3 linked regions of the Danio rerio genome follow. The protein of the gene in region 1 purifies or fractionates together with the protein of each later gene. This does not show direct contact. Links are inferred from orthologs where the notes say so. Each region holds a gene or a part of one and is shown in the gene's direction. Other genes may lie near its edges.

Evidence for each region.
Region 2: the proteins of tsen15 (region 1) and clp1 purify together in Homo sapiens (affinity purification with mass spectrometry; 4 studies listed by BioGRID and IntAct, counting the BioPlex papers as one, with this or other methods). This does not show direct contact. The link is inferred for Danio rerio from reciprocal best matches to the Homo sapiens genes TSEN15 and CLP1.
Region 3: the proteins of tsen15 (region 1) and tsen54 purify together in Homo sapiens (affinity purification with mass spectrometry; 4 studies listed by BioGRID and IntAct, counting the BioPlex papers as one, with this or other methods). This does not show direct contact. The link is inferred for Danio rerio from reciprocal best matches to the Homo sapiens genes TSEN15 and TSEN54.

The regions. Positions count from the first base shown.
Region 1 is NC_133177.1:10,293,822-10,301,246, forward strand, and holds the start of tsen15 (tRNA-splicing endonuclease subunit Sen15), read left to right. Parts: upstream 1-2,650; 5' UTR 2,651-2,819; coding exon 2,820-2,876; intron 2,877-2,967; coding exon 2,968-3,049; intron 3,050-4,423; coding exon 4,424-4,559; intron 4,560-7,425. UniProt on the Homo sapiens protein: Non-catalytic subunit of the tRNA-splicing endonuclease complex, a complex responsible for identification and cleavage of the splice sites in pre-tRNA. It cleaves pre-tRNA at the 5' and 3' splice sites to release the intron.
Region 2 is NC_133189.1:53,769,744-53,776,406, forward strand, and holds part of clp1 (polyribonucleotide 5'-hydroxyl-kinase Clp1), read left to right. Parts: intron 1-1,339; 5' UTR 1,340-1,341; coding exon 1,342-1,617; intron 1,618-2,910; coding exon 2,911-3,018; intron 3,019-3,223; coding exon 3,224-3,343; intron 3,344-5,026; coding exon 5,027-5,164; intron 5,165-6,663. UniProt on the Homo sapiens protein: Polynucleotide kinase that can phosphorylate the 5'-hydroxyl groups of double-stranded RNA (dsRNA), single-stranded RNA (ssRNA), double-stranded DNA (dsDNA) and double-stranded DNA:RNA hybrids. dsRNA is phosphorylated more efficiently than dsDNA, and the RNA component of a DNA:RNA hybrid is phosphorylated more efficiently than the DNA component.
Region 3 is NC_133178.1:65,647,646-65,654,308, forward strand, and holds part of tsen54 (tRNA-splicing endonuclease subunit Sen54), read left to right. Parts: coding exon 1-33; intron 34-2,615; coding exon 2,616-2,676; intron 2,677-3,887; coding exon 3,888-4,001; intron 4,002-5,821; coding exon 5,822-5,969; 3' UTR 5,970-6,663.

The DNA.
Region 1 (7,425 bases):
GGGACTACGTTTTCAGAATGAGCCTGGGTTGGCTTAATTATTGCGGTTGCCAAATATCCAATTATTTACAATGTTTTCCTACAGTGACATACATAAAAAAGTTACTGGCGAGTTACTGATGTGCATTAGCATTATATATGTATTTTTTGTTTAAAAAAAAAGAAAGAAAAAAAAGGAAAAAAAAGTGTGAATCTCATGCTTACTATAACGACAGTACAAAACAGTATTGCTGCTTCAGAATATCTCAGACATATGGACACGTACTGGATAAGTGGAGCAAAGCCACACCACACGCAACAACTTAATCTTCTACAGTTAAATGAATTTGATAAAAAGTGTGCAACTTTTTGCACGCTAAAAGGCATGTTTTATGCAGGATTGTAACTGATTTGCTGCAACGACCTCTTTAAATACGAGATCAATGTTGCGAATTTTGACACTCTCGCCGGTGGAGCAGGGAAGGCAGACAACGTTGTCATCAGGGCATCCAGAGCGAACTTACATTTACATTCACATTTAGTCATTTAGCAGACGCTTTTATCCAAAGAGACTTACAAATGAGTACGCAGAAGCAATTTACACAACTATAAGAGCAACAATGAATAAGTGCTGTAGGCAAGTTTTTTGAGTACAGTTAGCGGTGGAGCCAGGGAGGCAATTGCAGATTAGGAAGGAAAGTGGAGATTAGGAAGGAAGCTTTGACGCTCGCACCGTCTTCAATGTGGACGCACAAATACTAATTTACTAATGAGCAAGATATCGTCACTAACAGGTGGGGTTTTTACCCTTCTGATGACGTTAAAAAGGGAGAATGTCCAGAATGTGTTTTTGCAAGTGTGATTATAAAAAATATATATTATTTTTTTTCCATTAGAGGCTGATTGTATTCACACACTGCTGCCACACATAATAGGTCCCCTTTAAATGAAATAAAACACAGTGATTTTGCTTTCGCATAAAATAAAACCGCCTAAATCTAGCTTAAAGGTGTAAAATCAAATAAATCAGTGTCTGGCATGGGGAAAACATGCCATAAAAATGTTTCCTTAGAATACTTCACTACAAAATACATGAACAAATCGCATCTTATTTGGTGTAGTGTGTATATGTATGAAAATATTTAATTTGCCACACTTGCATGCAAGCATTTGGAAAGTGCTTGAAAAGTGCTTAAATTTGATTTTAAAAAAGTATATGGACCCTGTTTCTTGTTATTTTAGATGGCTTTTTAGAACTTTCAAAGAGACTTTCTTCTTTCTGGAGTAATCCGGTTTATACAAAAGAATAAGAATACAGAATAGGAAAACACTATGCTTTAAAGGTTTGGAGAGAAAATACTTTTTTATTCAGTGAGGATGCATTAAGAAAATTATTTCTGAAGGAATGTTTGACATTGAAGAATGCAGTAATTATGCTGAAAATTTAGCGTTGAATTACAGGAATAAATTAAAATTGAAAACATGTTCAAATTTAAACAATTATATTAGATTGTAAGAATATTTGACTGCTTATGTGCTTTTAAACTCTAGTGTTTATTATTATAACACATATTCTGTTGGGGTTTTTGTTTATGTGACTTGTTTCAATGCAGGTAGTTTGTAGCCTTTTAAAGATCTTTTTCTACAACATTGTGTAAACCTGCCGGTCCTACACCACCCAACCCGCTCTGAGCTGGTATCGATCTGGCGACCTTCCGCATGGGAGTCGGTTGCACTAACAAGGAGGCTAAACACCATGGCCTTTAGTGTGGGTTGCTAGAGCACCTTTAGAGGTCAGATGAGTAAGGTTTACCTGCACACACTAGCTGGCCTCCGTTACAATTGCACACATTTTTACATTTGTTTCTAATTTACATACCAGAGGAAGAATAAATCTTATTTTGCTTCATGACTATGCACTGTCCTATTGTAATAAAGACTGAACCCCGAAAATAAATCTTAAAAAAATGGCTTTAACAAAATAAATAGATAGCTACATAAAAAGAAGTTAATGTGTAGGTGTATTAATCTGTTACAGCTTTTCCAAATAGGACTATTTCTGATATGTCTTCTAAAGTATATACTGCATATGTTGAGCGCTATATAAAAGAAGATATTAGTATATTTTTATAAGCCACAGTCATACAATATGTATAAATGCGTTACTGTTTTGTAGTGTAATTATTTTGAAAAATCAATAAAGAATTGGAATTAACAGTTGTATTTTTGACTGATAATAGACTGGCAGACAACTTCTATAACAAACTGTAAAAATAAAAAATAAGATTTGTCCTGAATTCGTCTGTATCAATGCGGGCCTATTGAGATAGTGTACTGTTTCTACACGGATTCATATAAAGACGGGACAATAACAATCTGGTTGTGTTCAACGACCGATCTATATTAGAACATTATTAAAGCCTTATACGCACCAATTAATCAAGATATACACTAGGTAATGAACTATTATTTTTTAGAAAGAAGCTTGAATCGTACAAAGCAATTATTTTTCGCAAATAATTATATGGTTTTTGAAGTCAAGCTACGTTCGCACAGTGGGCGTCGCTGATTTGAAGTCCATTCGACACTTGTTGTAGTATGTAAATATTGGCCAATCGCCGTCTCTGTTGTTGCCTCATGACTATTAAATTAAGTACGTGATTGGTTTTGTAGAAAAGCGACTTACTAAATATTCATAACAACAGCCTTCGGGGTAGTAGGATTCGCAATTCACACATGTTCTAGTGTACGCGCACATGGTAAATCAGCAAACACGATTTTTGCCACACGCATTGATTCATTATGGGCTTTTAAAAAACGGAAGGAGAGTTGATAATTGTGATGGACGAAGCAAATCCAGCAAATCCTCCTCCGAACTGGATCCAGCAGCACACTGTCGTAAGAGAGTCACATTCTTCTTCATGTAAAGATAAATGAATGTAAATGTGTACTGCATATGTGTACAATTGTTGTTTAATTTGTTCTTCAGTACCAAGAGCTGATGCGTTTAGAAGTCGGAGACAGTGTTCAAGTACATGCTGCCTTCCTGGTGTACATGGATCTGACGGAAGGTGATGTCAACAGTCTAAAAGTACCGTAGAATATCAAGTTGAACATCCCCCCCAAAAGAATATGCCACAGTTTTTGATGCAATCCCTGACTTTGTTATATTTTTAGTCCAATCTGGCCCCAAAGGTTCTCTAGATTCTTTTATTATTGGCTTTTTATACTTTTTGATGACCAAACTCTTCTCAGTTTTATGTCGAACAAAGATATTCGCTTGGTTATTAATAATTCTCGGATATCTTTACCTGCTTGCATAGACATAGATTGGGATCAGTTTTGTCTTCTTAGGAAAAAAAATATTTGTATCTAATAAAGCTGTTGTAGTCTCAATCAAAATCAATCATAATACATAACCCAATAAATACTAAACTAGCTCAATTTAAAAACAATATTATTCCCTAAATGTTCATTTTGTACTCAATATGATGAAACACTAAATAATTTATTTTGGGAGTGCACTTATTGTAAAGTTTTTGGGTCGACTTCCAATTTCATAAAAAAAAATTTTTTCCCAAACTTTTGTATTTCCCCAAAAATTGTATTCTTTGGTTACTCTCTGAATGTAGATCCTTCTCATTGTACATTTATTATTAATTTATTATAAATTTTACATCCATAAATGTACATTTTCGAAGAAACACCCTTACTTTTTATTTTCAGAAAGGACTTTGATTTATATGTGAACTCTTTAAAAGACTAACAATTATATTGCATGAAAACTTTTCTTGGTGTAAATCATTTAAACTTGTTTAATCTGCTGGATTTTTATTTATGTAACCCCTGTGTGTTTTTGTTCATATTGTATCTTTGTAATGTTCCTTCTTGCATAAAATAAAATCAAGTTGAAACTATAAAAAGAGACTAAATGACCCTTAAAGGGCAGTTCACCCCAAAATGTTATTTACCCATTTACTCACCTTTAAGAGATTCCGGACAACATCTGCTGAATACAACAGAACCCACTCGTCAAACGACCTGTTTTCAATACTGAAATATGATTGAAATCAGATGTATTGTTTTTTTTGTTTTTTTACATTGAAACAATGTTGATACATTGTTTGATGTAGAACGGTTGAAAACCAACCTGCATACGACCAAGCTCCAATGTTGAAATACGGTTGAAAGTACGTCAGTTGTTGTTTCAGTGTTAAATGATAAACCTTACAGTGTTTCTGTATTATAAAAAATATTAGCCATTGACTTCCATGTTTTTTTCCTACTATGGAAGTCAATGGCTATCGGTTTTCGACATTCTTCAAAACACCTTCTTTTTGGGTTCATCAGCAGAAGGAATCCCATAAAGGGTTTGGAACCACTTGAGAGCGAGTAAATTAATATTTCATTTTCGGATGAACTATCCCTTTAATCTTTGTTTACAGTGCGTAAATGGAAAGATGTGGTCGGGGTTTCCTGTCCGGAGTTACAGGCGGTTCTTCTGGAGGGTCGAGAGAAGGAAGGAGAATCGGTCCAGATGATTTACCCTCTGCCTTCACACAGATCCATCAAGCACAGAGAGTAAGGGTGCTTCCACACTTGTGTTCGATTCAGTTGTTCCGAAACAGAGATTACAAATGTTGCATTGTTGCTCTTTGCTCTTGGTGCGGTTCGCTTTCACACTGCAAAGTTTCCAGTCGGACCAAAAGAGCTAAAACAAGTCACGTGCGAGTAAACTCTCCTTACATTGGTCAGAGTGTCAGGATTTATTTTACAGCGTCCCGCTAAGCTGTCAGGAGAGGTGGTGGTTTGGTGGTGATTGACAGGGTGCGCACGCGTGACGTGTCTGAGGAGAGACGCGGTGGGGAGGGGTGAGAAGGGTGCGCGACGATGCCTATTTGAGGACTGGGAGGGAGACGCGAGATTACCAGGAGATCATCACTCGTTTGCGGGCATCCAGAGACTCGCGAAACTTCCCGCCATACTCATAATTCTCTCTTCATATAGCCGTAAGCCTATTACATATCCATAAAACACTGTGATATAACCGCGCTCGGATCGGATCGCTTTCTCACTGCAATCGAACCGCTCCAGGGTTCGTTTCAATCGAGCCGAGACCACCTCATTCAAGCGATCTCGGAGCGACTAGTTTGGCGCAGAACAGAGCGCGATTGAAACTGTTCACATATGCCAAACGAAACGCACTAACTGGGCAAACGAGACACATTCCAAAACAAAAGTGTAGGTGTGAAAGCACCCTAAGACACGCTGTCAGCATTTACTGTAAAGTCACTGCAAGTAGTAATAAGTGCTTTCAAAACACTGCACCTTGAGACTTTAGGTTTAAACTTAAAATAATGTTCATTCATTCATTTTTTGTTCGCTGGCTCAGTGCCTTATTTACCAGGGATCGCCACAGCAGAATGAGCCACCAACTATTCCAGCATATGTTTTATGCAGTGGATGTCTTTCCAGCCGCAACTCATTACTGGGAAACTAAAATAATGTTAATGTGGGTTTTTATATTCTATTACTTTAATCTTAATACGTTAATTTTGCAATTTTTTTTTGCAACACCTTTTACAATATTCAACATGATAGTCGATTTTAATGGAATAGTTCACCCAGAAATGATTATTACCCCATAATTTACTCACTCTCATACCATCTCAAAAAATGTAACTACTTGTCGCAATGACGCGTAGCGGTAGCTCTGTGATTGGTCGGCTTGGTAGCGCTGACGAGTGTGAACGGGACCGAGAGCTCCAGATGAAAAGTTTTGTTTTGTGTTTACCTTATAATTAAAGTGCACTTCAGCCGGTTCCTCCCTCAAAATGAGCGAGTTTGAACCACTTGTACATTTAAGGAAGCGTTCAGGAAAAAACAAAACACCAGCGTAGAAACTCGACACAGAGGAACATAAAACCCTCACTGGCAACTAGCTTTTCGGAAATGTTAATGCAGAGCAACAGAAACAGTGCGCAGAAGTATGAATGCACAGTTAAGCCTGGTTTATACTTCTGCGTCAAGTGACCGGCGTAACTCACGGCGCAGGCAACGCGCGCAGCTGTGCATTTATACTTCTGCGCGCTGTCTCTGTTGGTCTGAATTAACACTTCCGAAACTCTAGTTGGCAGTGAGGTGTAAATGTTTCTCTGTGTCGAGTTTCTTCACTTTTTTTGCTTTTCCTGAACGCTTCCAGGATGTACAAGTGGCTCAAACTTGCTCATTTTGAGGCAGGAACCGGCGGACGTGCAACAACTTTAACCATGAGGTAAACACAGAACAAAACTTTCCGGAGTTCCTTCACGGGACTCCACACTTGTAAACAATCGCTCGCGCCATTCGCGTGGCTCTCGGTCCCGCCCAGACTCGTCAGCGCTACCAAGCCGACCAATCACAGAGCTTGCGCTACGCGTTGTTGCGACGTGTAGTTACATTTTTTTAGAGGCGCACGTCAGTGACGCCGATGGCCACGGCGAAGGGCTATGCGTCAGCGCCGTAGCATACGCCGGCATTTTACGGAGAAGTATAAATCAGCCTTTACGCGCATTGCATGCTCCGTGGGTCACGCCGATCACTTGACGCAGAAGTATAAACCAGGCTTTAGTCGGAGTGGTTTTCAATTGTATTCTGCATGCTGTATAATGGTATTGGATGGTGGCTTTTATTTTGAAGCTTTCAAAAATCAAACTATCCCATATGGTGCCAAAGTGTTAATGCTTGTATTATGAAACAGATCAATGTGTATTTATAACAACAACAAAAAATCCAAATCAACGAAATTCCACTCACTGGCAGCCAAACGCATGTTATGCGCAACTGACGTTACGTACAGTTGAATTATTCAGAATTATTAGCCCTCCTGAATTATTAAATTAATTTCTTTTAACGGAGAGATTTTTTTCAACACATTTCTAAACAATAGTTTAGAATATATATATATATATATATATATATATATATATATATATATATATATAATAACTGATTTATCTTTGCCATTAGGACAGTACATAATATTTGACTAGATGTCATATTACAGCATAGATTGTAAAATATATGGCTGTAGTATCCATTAAGTCACCCATAGGTTTCTTAAGAGCGCAAATGAAGCAACAAGTAGGCGTGGCCAACCGTCTTCATTTTGTTTGTGTGTGTTCACACCAACCGGGGCTGACCAAATAAGAGCAAAGAGGAGGAGCGTCAGAGGAGCTACAAACGCCTGCTAGCATTTTGCTTAGACAGGCTTTTCTTTGGGAGAAACGCTTAATACATCATTACCTGCGACTCGTTTGTGTTCTGACTGCATGTGCTTGCCTGTTGAGGATTTATCAAGTTTAAAAACACTGTTGTAATACATTGAGCCACTAAACATTGTTATTATAACGTTTTTCTACTGGACGATAACACAAATAACTTTCAAATACTTCAAATATAGTCTGTG
Region 2 (6,663 bases), on another chromosome or scaffold:
TTCTGCCACTTTTCCAAATGATCAACTAGAATATATATATATATAACCAGGCAATAAAAAATTGTAATGAAGTCAATTTTTTCAAATATTAACATGGAAAATATAAAATTCTTTTTATTAATCTGTTTATAGACTGCTTTCATTGTGACTCCAGTCATACTAAAACTTCTATAGCTATTAAAATAGCCTAGTTACTATTCCCCCACCCTGTATATAAGATTGTTACACTGAATAGCATTTTAGTGGTTGTCCTAAATGAAGTTTCACAAACTAATTTCGAGAGGAGCATGTGATATGATTGACTGCAGCTGGCCACTCATCTACACTCATTAGCTAGCCAATCAGATTGATCCAAACTCACTATAAGTAACCTAGCTAACTAGCTAAGAACTACTCCCTTATCTTCGTTTCCCGAAGAAACCCCCCATCCACCCCTTCTCCTCCTTTCCTCTTTTGCCTAGGGGAGCTCTCGAGAACTCCTGATCTCGTACTCCCCTCACATGCTCAATGGACCTGGCGGGAGCCCTGGGCTCAACTATCTCCGAGCTCAGGGTTCTCTCCCGGGACAGCACGCCAAACCTGCTAACTTGCTAACAAGTTGTCGAACAGTATCTAAGTGTGAACTCTTGAAATAAATTGAATATATCAAATTGCAGTATTCATATGACAGAGAGGTGCAATAATTTGCATTTATTTTATGTGACAAGAATTTGTGTGTTGCATGCATTTGGTTAATTGTCCAAATTTGACCAATTGGATGGGGCTTTACACTTTATACCTGTGTCCCCAGTAGGTGCTGTTTTGATGTTGGCTAGACCGTCCCAAAGGGGAACTAAAAATACACTAATGGCAGGAGTCGAGACGATAGAAAATTCATTCATAGTGATTTAAAGTCAAAATTTTTACTCTATGACGTTGTTGTTCTTTGTTGAATAAATTAGATTTAATTAGATCAGAAAAATCTATTGCCTATTTATTTTTGTAAGTTTAAAAATCTATCTGGAGGTTTTATATCACAAGAAATATAATTATTGCAATACTTAAAAACAGTGCTTAGTATTGTGCAGCACTACTGTCTTCTATCATATGAAAAAATATATAAACAAGACACATCGTTCTATGCATGTTGGAATAAATATATAAATTCCATCTATTTTGATGCTTGAAAACCCTTTCCATCTTTTTATTTAATTTTTTATTAAGCAGAAATTTGAATAAAAGTAAGTACATGACGTGAAATTTATAGCATAATTTGCTGGTTTTAAACATACAGAATAATTCATAATGGATTGCAGTTATGTAAACAATCCTTTTCATCTCTGATAATTCTCCTTCACAGTCATGACGGCAGAAGCTGCAGAAAAGTCTGTGGAGGAGGGCCTGAGCTCGTCGGGCAGCGCTGGTTCTTCAGGCACCAGATTCGACCTGGATAAAGAGACAGAACTGCGCTTTGAGGTGGAAGCAGGAGAACGAGTCCAGCTGGAGCTGCTGTCTGGCTTAGCTGAGATATTCGGATCTGAGCTGAACCGCAATAAGAAATACACTTTCGGGCCTGGCTCTAAGATCGCTGTGTTTACCTGGCAGGGCTGCGGTGTGGCACTTTCAGGCAAAACAGAGGTGAGAGATAGCAAGTCTTGAACCTGACTTTTATTTCAGTGTGTTGATGTACTTCTAACAGGCTATATGCACAGCTAGTGTTTCTTAGCTAATGATGAACTTACGGTGGAAGTTTTTGTGACTATTTTCAATTTAATAAGGTTCCTTTTTACAGCATTAATGTTGTAATGTTGTTAAAATACAATCAATTAAATAGACTTAAGCATTCGTTTAGTTGTTCAAATGTCCACCTCTGGTAAATTCAGTTGACTGGACATGATTTGAAAAGGCATACACCTGTCTATAGGTGTATAGGACAGTGCATGTCAAAGGAAAAACCAAGCTTGAAGACAACGGAGTTGTCTGTAGTCCTCCGAGACAGGATTTTCTCTTGGCACAAGGCTGGGGAAGGTTACAGAAACATTTTTGCTTCTCTGAAAGTCCCAATGAGCACAGCGGCCTCCAACATCTGTTAGTGGAAGCTGTTTAGAACCACCAGGACTCCTAGAGCTGGCCGGCCATCTAAGCTGAGTGATCAGGGAGAAGGGCATTAGTCAGGGAGGTGATCAATAACCCGATGGTCACTCTGTCTGAGCTCCAGCGTTCTTCTGTGGAGAGAGGAGAACCTTACAGAAGGACAACCATCAGTGCAGCAATCCACCAATCAGGCCTGTATGGTAGAGTGGCCAGACGGAAGACACTCCCCGCCTGAAATTTGCCAAAAGGCATCTGAAGGACTCTCAAACCATAAGAAACTAAATTGTCTGGTCCGATGAGATGAAAATTGAACTCTTTGGAGTTAATGCCAGGCATTACGTTTGGAGAAAAGCAGGCAGGCTAATAGCATCCCTACATTGAGGCATGGTGGTGTTGGCTTCATGCTGTGGGGATGTTTTTCAGCAGCAGGAACTGGAAGACTAGTCAGGATAGAGGGAAAGATGAATGCAGCAATGTACAGAGACATCCTGAATGATTTCTATTACTGAATAAAAGCATGCTGTTTTAATTATAATCGTGATTAAACATGAAATAGCCCTTTTACACTTTTAAACAATGTCATACTCTTATTTTCACAACCTAAACTGGAGTATGCTGCTATTTAGGGGTTTTTCCACTGTCATAAAAAAAATGCAAACATGCATAGTTCAATGCTGGATTGTAATCAGACGTTGATTGAAGATTACAAAAACAAACGTTTTTGTCAGAAGATTAACTTGCACTCATTATTTACATTAAGTTTAACAATGTGCACTAGTAAAACAAAACTTAAATGACATTAACAAACTCAAATATGGCTTTTTCCTGTAAATGCAGGTGGCTTATGTCTCCAAAGATACCCCGATGCTGCTGTACCTGAACACACATGCGGCTCTAGAGCAGATGAGACGGCAGGCAGAGAAAGACAACGAAAGAGGCCCTCGGGTACGTGAACACACAGCGGAAGAATTAAAATGTCACTGGAGGTCTAAAAATTTTGCCTTCAGCTGTAACTGTATGGCCAATAATAATAGAAACTGACTGATATATAAATAAAATGAATACAAACTCATAATAATATAAAGCATAAACTGCTCTTGGTTGTTATCTGAATATTAAATATCTGTTTAATCTGCATTTGTCATCATAGGTAATGGTCGTCGGCCCAACCGATGTTGGAAAGTCAACAGTATGTCGGATGCTGCTGAATTATGCAGTGCGACTGGGACGCAGACCTACACTGGTGGAGCTGGACGTCGGCCAGAGCAGTGTAAGTGAATGATGCCAGAGAGATCGATGCAGCATCTTCTAAACCTAACAGGCTTATTAAGAAGTGAAGATCAAGGGCCCTATCATACACCCGGCGCAGTGTGGCGCAATACTTGTTTGCCAGTTTCAGCTCGGCGCAAGAGTCGTTTTGAGGCGTTGCGCTACGCTGTTTAAATAGCAAATGCATTAGCGCTCATTTGTGCGGCCATAGGCGTTCTGGTCTAAAAAGAAGGCGTTCTGAGGCGGACTGCTGGCGCGTTGCTATTTTGAGAAACTATAATAGATTTTTCATTAGACCAAAACTAACCCGGTCTAAACTCCGGCGCAGAGTTGCACCTCACTTAACACTGCTTAATACACACAAGAGAGCAATAGGCAAATATCTTTACATATGAAAACATGTAAATATTAAGGATATATATAGGATATAATAATAATAGATATAGGATATAAATATAAAGGATTAAAATATTACAAAACATATGATTTTCTAGCCTACATAAATATGAAAAATCACTGCTTTTATGTCTTCATCTCCAGAGGCTTTTTCAGTTCATTCATAACAATTTTCTTCTGTATAATGTTATTATTATTAGCAGTATTATTTATTATATCCATATTTATATTTGTTTTATTAAAAACAAGCTTAGATTTGTCCACCTGTCAGGTTTTAGACCATATGGGGCACAGCATGTGTTTTAGGATATAACTCAGGTTTTTGAGCACACTTTGTTATTATTATTCATTTATTCGTTTGCTGGAAATTAGAACTGAATTTAGAAATAGTTTTGAAACGAATATTTGCGCTTAACAAATGCAATTATTTATTTATAGACTAATTGATGTCTGTGTGTAAAGGTTTCCCTATTCAAAAGCGAATGTGAAAGTAGATCCATTATCTCTCATTCTCACGCAGTAGATGCTCTTCTTAACAGTTTTCTGTTAAAAAACTGTTAACTGTGAACTGTTTGCTTGTGAAATGCTCAGTTTTTCCACTTAGACTTACTTTGCGTCCTGTAAATAGCAAATGCGCTTATGGTGCAACGCAGCTGGATCTTAAAGGGAATGGGAGATGAGACTCTAATTGGTTTATTCTCAAAACACCCCTATAACTCATTAAGAAAATAAACTCAACCCTTTTAGACCATGCGCCGCGGCGCAAGGCAGATTTCCTGTCTTTAAATTAGCAAAAACGCGTCCTGACATGCCCTGAAAGCGTTTGCGCCCTCTGTTTTGCGCTCTGCGCATGGACCGTCAAAATAGAGCCGCTACAGTTGAAGTATTATCAGCCCTCCTGTTTGTTTTTTTTCCCCGATTTCTGATAATGCAGAGATTTTTTTCCAACACATTTCTAAACATAATGTTTCTAATAACTGATTTATTTTATCTATGCCATGATGACAGCACGTAATATTTGACTAGATGTTTTTTTCAAGATGTTAGTATTCAGCTTAAAGTGACATTTAAAGGCTTAACTAGGTTAATTAGACAGGTTAGAGTTATTAGGCAAGTCATTGTGTAACGTTGCTAATAATATTGACCTTAAAATGAATATAAAAACAATTATTCTAGTCGAAATAAAACAAATAAGACTTTCTCCAGAAGAAAAAATATTATAGGAAATACTGTGAAAAATTCCTCGCTCTGTTAAACATCATTTGGGATTAATTGTTTTGGCCTGCAGGTCTCAGTGCCTGGAACCATGTCGGCTCTGTGCATCGAGCGTCCTGCTGATGTTGAAGAAGGTTTCTCAGTTCAGGCGCCGCTCGTCTTTCATTTTGGCTCCACCACTCCAGGGACAAACATCAAACTTTACAACAAGGTAATAATGACACCGGTGCACTTAAGGGAGTGTTGTTTTTACACATCAGCTTTGGCTTGTATATCACTGGAACAGATGCAGCTGATTTAATGAGCAGCAAACAATGCTGGGGTTGTATAATCAATAATGAACAAGAGAAGATGCATCAATCTTTCTCCTAATGCAACTATATAATGTGGTTTATATAGAAATATCGGTAACACTTTACAATAAGGTTGTATTAGTTTGTTAGTTAATGCATTTACTAACATGAACAAACAATGAGCAACACGTTTATTACAGTATTTGTTTATGTTAGTTAAAGAATATAAAGTTATTCATGTTAACTCCCGATGCATTAACTAATGTTAACAAGCATGAATCTGGTTATAATGCATTAGTAAATGTTGAAGTATGATGAATAAATTGTTCATAAGTAGGTTATGTTAGAAAAAATACATTAACTAATGAAATGCATTCAAACCCAGGCGATTTTGCAAGTCATGAAAGAAAAGTGAAATGAAACTCGCCATCAAGTCCTATTTGCTACTCTCCCCTCCTACTGACATTAATGTAGTTGCAGTTATCATACAGCTCCAATGTAAAAAGCAGCTTCACACTCATCTTTCCTCTGTGCATCATCTTTTTCAATAGCAGCGTTTCCACTATCGCACCTAAAGCGAGTGAGCCAGGGCCTGTCGCGTTTCCACTGTCACTTCCAGGGCCTGATCGGACCAAAGCGGAGCTTCCTTGGGGCCAGCGGTTGGCCTTTTTCGGCCCGCCGAATACCTTGGGCCAAAGAGGGCCAGCTGGTGCTTTGGGGGCGTAGTGAGAGGCACACTTTGCCCAAGTCTGGTAAAAATGGCATGTGCCATTACACTAGTTTTCCGATTGCACAGGAGTTCATGCGACAAAATAAATGAGGAAAAGAAAAACGTATAGCTGGTCAGTTTAAGATAGGCTATTCCATAAAACACCTATAGGCTGGGGTCTTTTTGCTTATGATCGCCCTTAGGTTTCCCTTTTAAATGTAAGGCCATTGCATAAAATAATAAAGTAGTTTTAATTTATAAGTGATTTTTCTTTGCTTTCTTGCGTTCTTGATGTTTCAATAACGCATAATAATCTTTACACCAGGGCCGGAGTGGCACTCCTTTTCAGTTCTGGAGTTTCAAGCCTCACACCGGCCCACCTCAGTTCACGACTGACTATATTAAAATAAGGTCATTTCCATTTCAGTTTGTAATTACACTATCACGTCTTTTTTTTTTTTTAGAAAACAGCTGCTTTAGAACTTCAAATTTTCAACAACCCCAACAGTATTATATGTCTTAACAATAAAAATAAAAAAATAAAATACTCAGACGAGGATCAAACACCATATTAAACACACAGCAGCAAGTAAATGTTGTCGAGAGTTTTTGTCAAGTTTAAAAGGTGTTTGTGCATGAAACGTGCATGTTTAAATGCATGTGCGTGTGTGTGAGAGACCGGCGAAAGAGCGCTTGCTTGACAGCTCT
Region 3 (6,663 bases), on another chromosome or scaffold:
CGCTCACTCAGCCCGGACAGTGCACATCACACCGTAAGATGTACTTTACACTAGATGACTGAATAATGAGGCTTACTGGGAGAGGATTTAATGGTGACTGGGTAAAGACTGGAGAAGAGAAATGAAAGAAAGACAGAAAGAATGAAGGAAAGAAAACGAATGAATGAATGATGGAAAGATAAGGAAAGAAAGAATGAAGAAAAGAGAGGGAACAAAAGAAAAATAAATAAGGAGAGAAGTAAAAGAAAGAAAGGGGGAAAGAAAGATTGTTGGAAGAAAAGGAATGAAGGAAAGAAAGATAAGGAAAGAAGTACAAGAAAAAGGTGAAAAGAAAGAATGATGAAAAGAAAAGATGGAAAGATAAGAAAATGAAGAAAAGAGAGGAAAAGAAAGATGAGGAATGAAGTGAAATAAAGGGGGAAAGGAAAGAATGATGGCAGGAAAAAGAAAGATGGAATGAAAGAAGGACTGAAAGAAAAAGAAAGCAAGAAAAAAGGGAACGAAAGAATGAGTTAATAAAAGAGGGAAAGAAAGATAAGGAAAGAAGTAAAAGAAAGAGAGTAAAGAGAAAGAATGATTGAAAGAAAAAGAAAGGACTAAAGAAAAGACAAATAAAGAAAGAATGATGGAAAGAAAGCAGGAATGAAGAAAAGAGAGGGAAAGAAAGATAATGAAAGAAGTAAAAGAAAGGGGAAAGGTAAGATTGTTAGAAAGAAAAAGAAAGAAGGACTGAAGGAAAGAGAAAGAAAGAAAAGGAATGAAGGAAAGAGAGGGAAAGAAGTACAAGAACGAAAGTGAAAAGAAAGAATGATGCAAAGAAAAGAAAAAGATGGAAAGATATAGAATAAAAGAATGAAGAAAAGAGAGGAAAGGAAAGATAAAGAAGTAAAAGAGGGGGAAAAGAAAGAATGATGGAAAGAAAAAGAAAGAAGGAACGAAATAAGGACTGAAGGAAAGAAAGCAAGAAAAAAGTGAAAAGAAAGAATGATGGAAAGAAAAGAAAGATGGAGAGATAAGAAAAGGTAGAATGAAGAAAAGAGAGATGAGGAAAGAAGTAAAATAAAGGGGGAAAGGAAAGAATGATGGCAGGTAAAAGAAATAAGGAATGAAAGAAGGACTGAAGGGAAAAGAAAGCAAGAAAAAAGGGAACGAAAGAAGTAGTTAATGAAAGAAGGAAAGAAAGATAAGGAATGAAGTAAAGGAGAGTAAAAAGAGAATGATTGAAAGAAAAAGAAAGAAGGACTAAAGGAAAGAGAAATAAAGAAAGAATGATGGAAAGAAAGCAGGAATGAAGAAAAGAGAGGGAAAGAAAGAAAAAGAAAGATAAGTAAAAGAAAGGGGAAATGTAAGATTGTTAGAAAGAAAAAGAAAGAAGGACTGAAGGAAAGAGAAAGAAATAATGGAAAGAGCAGAAAAGGAATGAGGGAAAGAAGTAGAAGAAAGAAAGAGAAAAGAAAGAATGATGCAAAGAAAAGAAAAAGATGGAAAGATACAGAATAAAGCATGAAGAAAAGAGGGAAAGATAAAGAAGTAAAAGAAAGGGGGAAAAGAAAGAATGGTGGAAAGAAAAAGAAAGGCTGGAGAAAAGAAAGCAAGAAAATAGGGAAAGAAAAGTAGTTAATGAAAGAGGGAAAGAAAGATAAGGAATGAAGTAAAAGAGAGTAAAAAGAGAATGATTGAAAGAAAAAGAAAGAAGGACTAAAGGAAAGACAAAGAAAGAAAGAATGATGGAAAGAAAGCAGGAATGAAGAAAAGAGAGGGAAAGAAAGAAAAGGTAAAAGAAAGGGGGGAAGGTAAGATTGTTAGAAAGAAAAGGAAAGTAAAAAAGAAAGGACTGAAGGCAAGAGAAAGAAAGAATGGAAAGAAAAGTAATGAGGGAAAGAAGTAGAAGAAAGAAAGAATGATGCAAAGAAAGAAAAAGATGGAAAGATAGAATAAAGAATGTAGAAAAGAGAGGGAAAGAAAGATGAAGTAAAAGAAAGGGGGAAAGAAAAAGAAAGAAGGGCTGGAGAAAAGAAAGCAAGAAAATAGGGAAAGAAAGGAATTGATGAAAGAGGGAAAGAAAGAGGGAATGATCGAAAGAAAGAAGGTAAGAAGTAAAAGAAAGGGGGAAAGAAAAAGAAAGAAGGGCTGGAGAAAAGAAAGCAAGAAAATAGGGAAAGAAAGGAATTGATGAAAGAGGGAAAGAAAGAGGGAATGATCGAAAGAAAGAAGGTAAGAAGTAAAAGAAAGAACAAACGCAAAGAAAGACAGTAAAATGAAGTAATGATTAAAAAAAGAAATGACTGGAGGAAAGACAAAGAAAGAAGAAGAAAGATAAGGAAAGAAATGAAAGAAAGAAAAAAGGGAAAGGAAAGAACAATTTAAAAAAGAAAGAATGAAGGAAAGAAAAAGAAGGACTGAAGGAAAGAGAAAGAAGGGAAAGGAAAGAAAGAACAATTTAAATAAAGGAATGCCGTTCATCACGTGTGCACCTCACAGAAAACAGCACTATGACTCCACTAAAGGCTGACTTACACTGTCGCCTGCACTGCAAGAAAAAGGTTCTCTTAAGAGTTTTTGTTTGTGGTAAATGCCCGTGTGACTTTCCTCTTGTTGTATTTTGTGTGCTGCAGGTGAACTGCTGGACCAGATCGGCATCATCAAGTCCTCTACTTTCTCTGAGGGTCTTTCCAGGTGTTTATACACTCTCACAGTTTGCTCTCCTTTTACTATCTTTCCCTGTCTGAGCGTTTGATCCATGTCAAATAAAGAGATATATTAATTCATTTAACGAAAATGAAACGATGGTGAGACAAACGATATCCATGTGTATGTCAAGTAGCAATCTTCCCAAACTAATACGGAAGTTACTCATACTGCAATTCTTCAGCTGGCCACTGGGGGCTGACCCCAAAACTGAGCATATTTACATTGACTCCAATGTTTAATGCAAGAAAGTAGGTATATTGAAAGAAAAAGAAAGAAGTGAAATGAAAGAAAGAAGGGAAAGGAAAGAACAATGCACACAAGGAATCAAGGAAAGAAAGAAGGAATGAAGGAAAGAAAGGAAAAGAAAAATAATGAAAGAAAAAAAGGGAAATGAAAGAAATAAATAAGGAAGAAGCGATGGCAACCTTCTACTCTCCCACTTGAAACTAATACAGCAGTAACTAAAACTGCAGTTCATCAACTGGCCACCGGGGGCTGGCTCCAAAACACAGCAAATTTACATTGACTCCAATGTTAAAATACAAGAAAGTAGGGAAATGAAAGAGAAACAGGGGAAAGAAAGAACGATGGACTGTAGGAATGAAAAAAGTAGGAAATAATGAAGGAAAGAGAAGTAAAAAAAAGAAAAAGAAAAGAAAGAAGCGAAAAGAAAGAATGGATTAAAAGTACAGAAAGGAAGAACAATGGCAACCTCCTGCTTCTTCTACTTGAAACTAATACAGAAGTAACCAAAACTGCAATTCATCATCTGGCCACCGGGGGCTGGCTCCAAAACACAGCAAATTTACATTGACTCCAATGGTAAAATACAACAAAGTGGGGAAATAAAAAAGAACGATTGGAAAGGAAAGAAAGAACGAAGGACAGTAGGAATGAAGAAAGGAAAGAATGAATGAAAGAAAGAAAAAGAAGAAAAAAATTAAAAGGAAAGAAAGACAGACAGAAAGAAAAGAATTATGGCAACCTCCCGCTCTCCCTCTTGAAACTAATACGGACGCAATTCAACATTCGAGTCTGGCTTTTTTAATGTTTAAATCTTTTTAAAGCCATTGTCCGTGTGTTTTAATGAAACTTACACCACAGTGATGTCATGAAACTGGCTGCTTTGACTCTTCTCTCAGAATGAAGCGAGTCAAACAAGCGTTCGAGATCATAATTAGCCTCTGTTTCCTCAGATTGTCCCCGTCAGACCAGTGGAAGATTAGTTTCGATGTTTACCAACCAGACACGGTGGCGGAGTTTAAAAAGAGCCACCCTGGAAAGCCTTACACACGCATGTGTGTCTGCAGGTAAACACACACACACACACACACACAATGCACCCAAATGAGTCCAGTGATTGATTTCATGCTTTATGATGGCGCACAATGACTGGTGTCTTTTACGTTTTGTCTTAATCATACAGTCGGTGGATCTTTACTCACTGCTGATTCATTCTGGATGATTAGTTTGGGTTTTTACTGAATTTATCAATGACATGGAACATAATACGGGGAAATCTAAACCTTTTGAGGTCTCATGTTTATTTACATGAGTAAAAGAGCAGTTTTTAGGCATATATTCTAAAGTACAGTATAAAAATTCTCAGATGAGATTAAAGCTAGCAGGGGTATTACTTTAAATCAGTTTAAATGTCAAAAATACTATTAAAATGGACTAAGATTTGTGTTTCTCAATGAATGCTTTTGGTTTACTATCATTTAGCACATTTTCAGTTCTGTGTGTGTGTGTGTGTGTGTGTGTGTGTGTACACATTTAGTTCTATGTTACAATGAGTGTTATGATTATTTGTATTCAATCGTTCACTTGTTTATTTTATTTTCGGCTTAGTCCCTTTAATAATCATGGGTCGCCACAACACAATGAACCGCCAACTTATCCAGCATACGCAGCGGATGACCTTCCAGCCGCAACCCATCACTGGGAAACATCCATACACACTCATAGACTACGAACAATTTAGCCTACTCAATTCCCCTTTGGCGCATGTGTTTGGACTGTGGGAAACCGGAGCACTCGGTTGAAACCCACGACCACACGGGGAGAACATGCAAACTCCACACAGAAATGCCAACTGACCCAGCCGAGGCTCGAAACAGCGACCTTATTGTTGTGAGGTGATCGTGCTACACACTGCACCATCGTGACAGCCTATTTATTTTCATCGGTTATTAATTTAGCATATATTTTCAGTGTAGTATATGTGTGTGTGTGTGTGTGTGTGTGTGTGTGTGTGTGTGTGGGTGTGTGTGTGTGTGTATACAAGTTCATTACTATTTTACATGGACTGTATGTTTATTCTGTTATTGTATATAATCCAGTATTCATTTTTAAAGTTAATTAAGTTTGTTAATTAATCGTTTATCTGCATATTTGGTCCATCCCAGCTATCACTATCTGCAAATTCCAAAATCAGTTGATCTATATCAGTTTGTGTGTGTGTGTATACACATTTAATACTGTTTTACAATGAGTGCTTTGTTTATTTATTTATTTTAATCCAGTATTAATTAATTAATCAGTTAATCAATTGATTATCTGCATGCATGGTCTGACCTAACTATCGGTATCGGCCAATATCGGTTCAGCTCTAATGATTTCTCTATTCAAAAATCTTAAAATATTTTATATTTGCTCTTATTTTCTCTCGCATAACTTCTATTTCACCGTAGTTTAAGCTCTATTGTTTATTTATTTATTAATTCATGCATTTTCCATCAGCTTAGTCCCTTTTTTCATCACAACAGAATGAACCGCCAACTATTCCAGCATGTTTTACACAGCGGATACCCTTCCAGTTGCAACCCAGTACTGGGAAACACCCATGCACACTCATTCACACACACACACTCCTACACTACGGCCAATTTAGGGATTCCCCTACAGCGCATGTGTTTGGAGCACCCGGAGAAAACCCGCGCCAACATGCAAACGCCACACAGAAACACCAACTGACCCAGCCGGGGCTCGAACCAGCGACCTTCTTGCTGTGAGGCCACAGTGCTAACCACTGAGCCACCTTCACTGCATATCATACCGTGTAACGTGTGTGACTCTGTATGTGAGCGTCTGATCTGACGTACTGTGTTTGTGTGTGTGTGTTTGTCAGTTTTGCGGGCCCTGTGCCGGATCTGCATGCTGTGAAGCAGCTCTCCTTCCAGAGCCAGGACGTCCCGGTGACATTCGCAGTGGTGGATCACGGTGACATCTCCTTTTACTGCTTCAAAGACTTTAAACTTCCAACTGATGTGTATTAAAGCTGCATTTATCAAACTACAACTCGACTCAGTACAGCACCTGTGCATCTCAGGGGGATTATGGACGGAGAGTTTACCCTAAAATAACCGTTTCTATCATCGTTTAGTGACTCTTATTGGATTAAAAAAGTCTTAATTCAAGAAGCTAAGCTTAGATAAGCACAAAATATTGTGTTGTTTACAGAAATAATGAGTCAAAATTAAGTGTTTTACCTTAAAACAAGTCAAATAATCTGCTAATGAGAGAAGAGAAATCATTTTTGAGATTGTTTCCCCAATTGGTGGATTATTTTCGCTTCTTTTATGGAAAAACTCAGTTAAATTTGACTCATTATTTCTGAAAACACCACAATATTTTGTGCTTTTCTAGAAAAAGCTTCTTGATTTAGGAGTTTTTAGATATTTGGACTAGAAATGAGACAAAAAATTGAGCAGGAAAGTCTTCTTGGTTGATGGAAGTCAGCGGTCACATTTGTCTAAAACTGAACTGAAAACAGCACCTGTGCATCTCAGGGCGATTACGGATGGAGAGTTCACCCTAAGATAACAGCTCTGTCATTGACTCTTATTGGATTGTGAATTAATAAAGTCTTAAATCAAGAAGCTTTTTCTGGATAAGCACAAAATATTGTCTGTTTACTGAAATAATGAGTTAAAATTAAGTGAGTTTTTCCTTAAAACAAGTCAAATGATC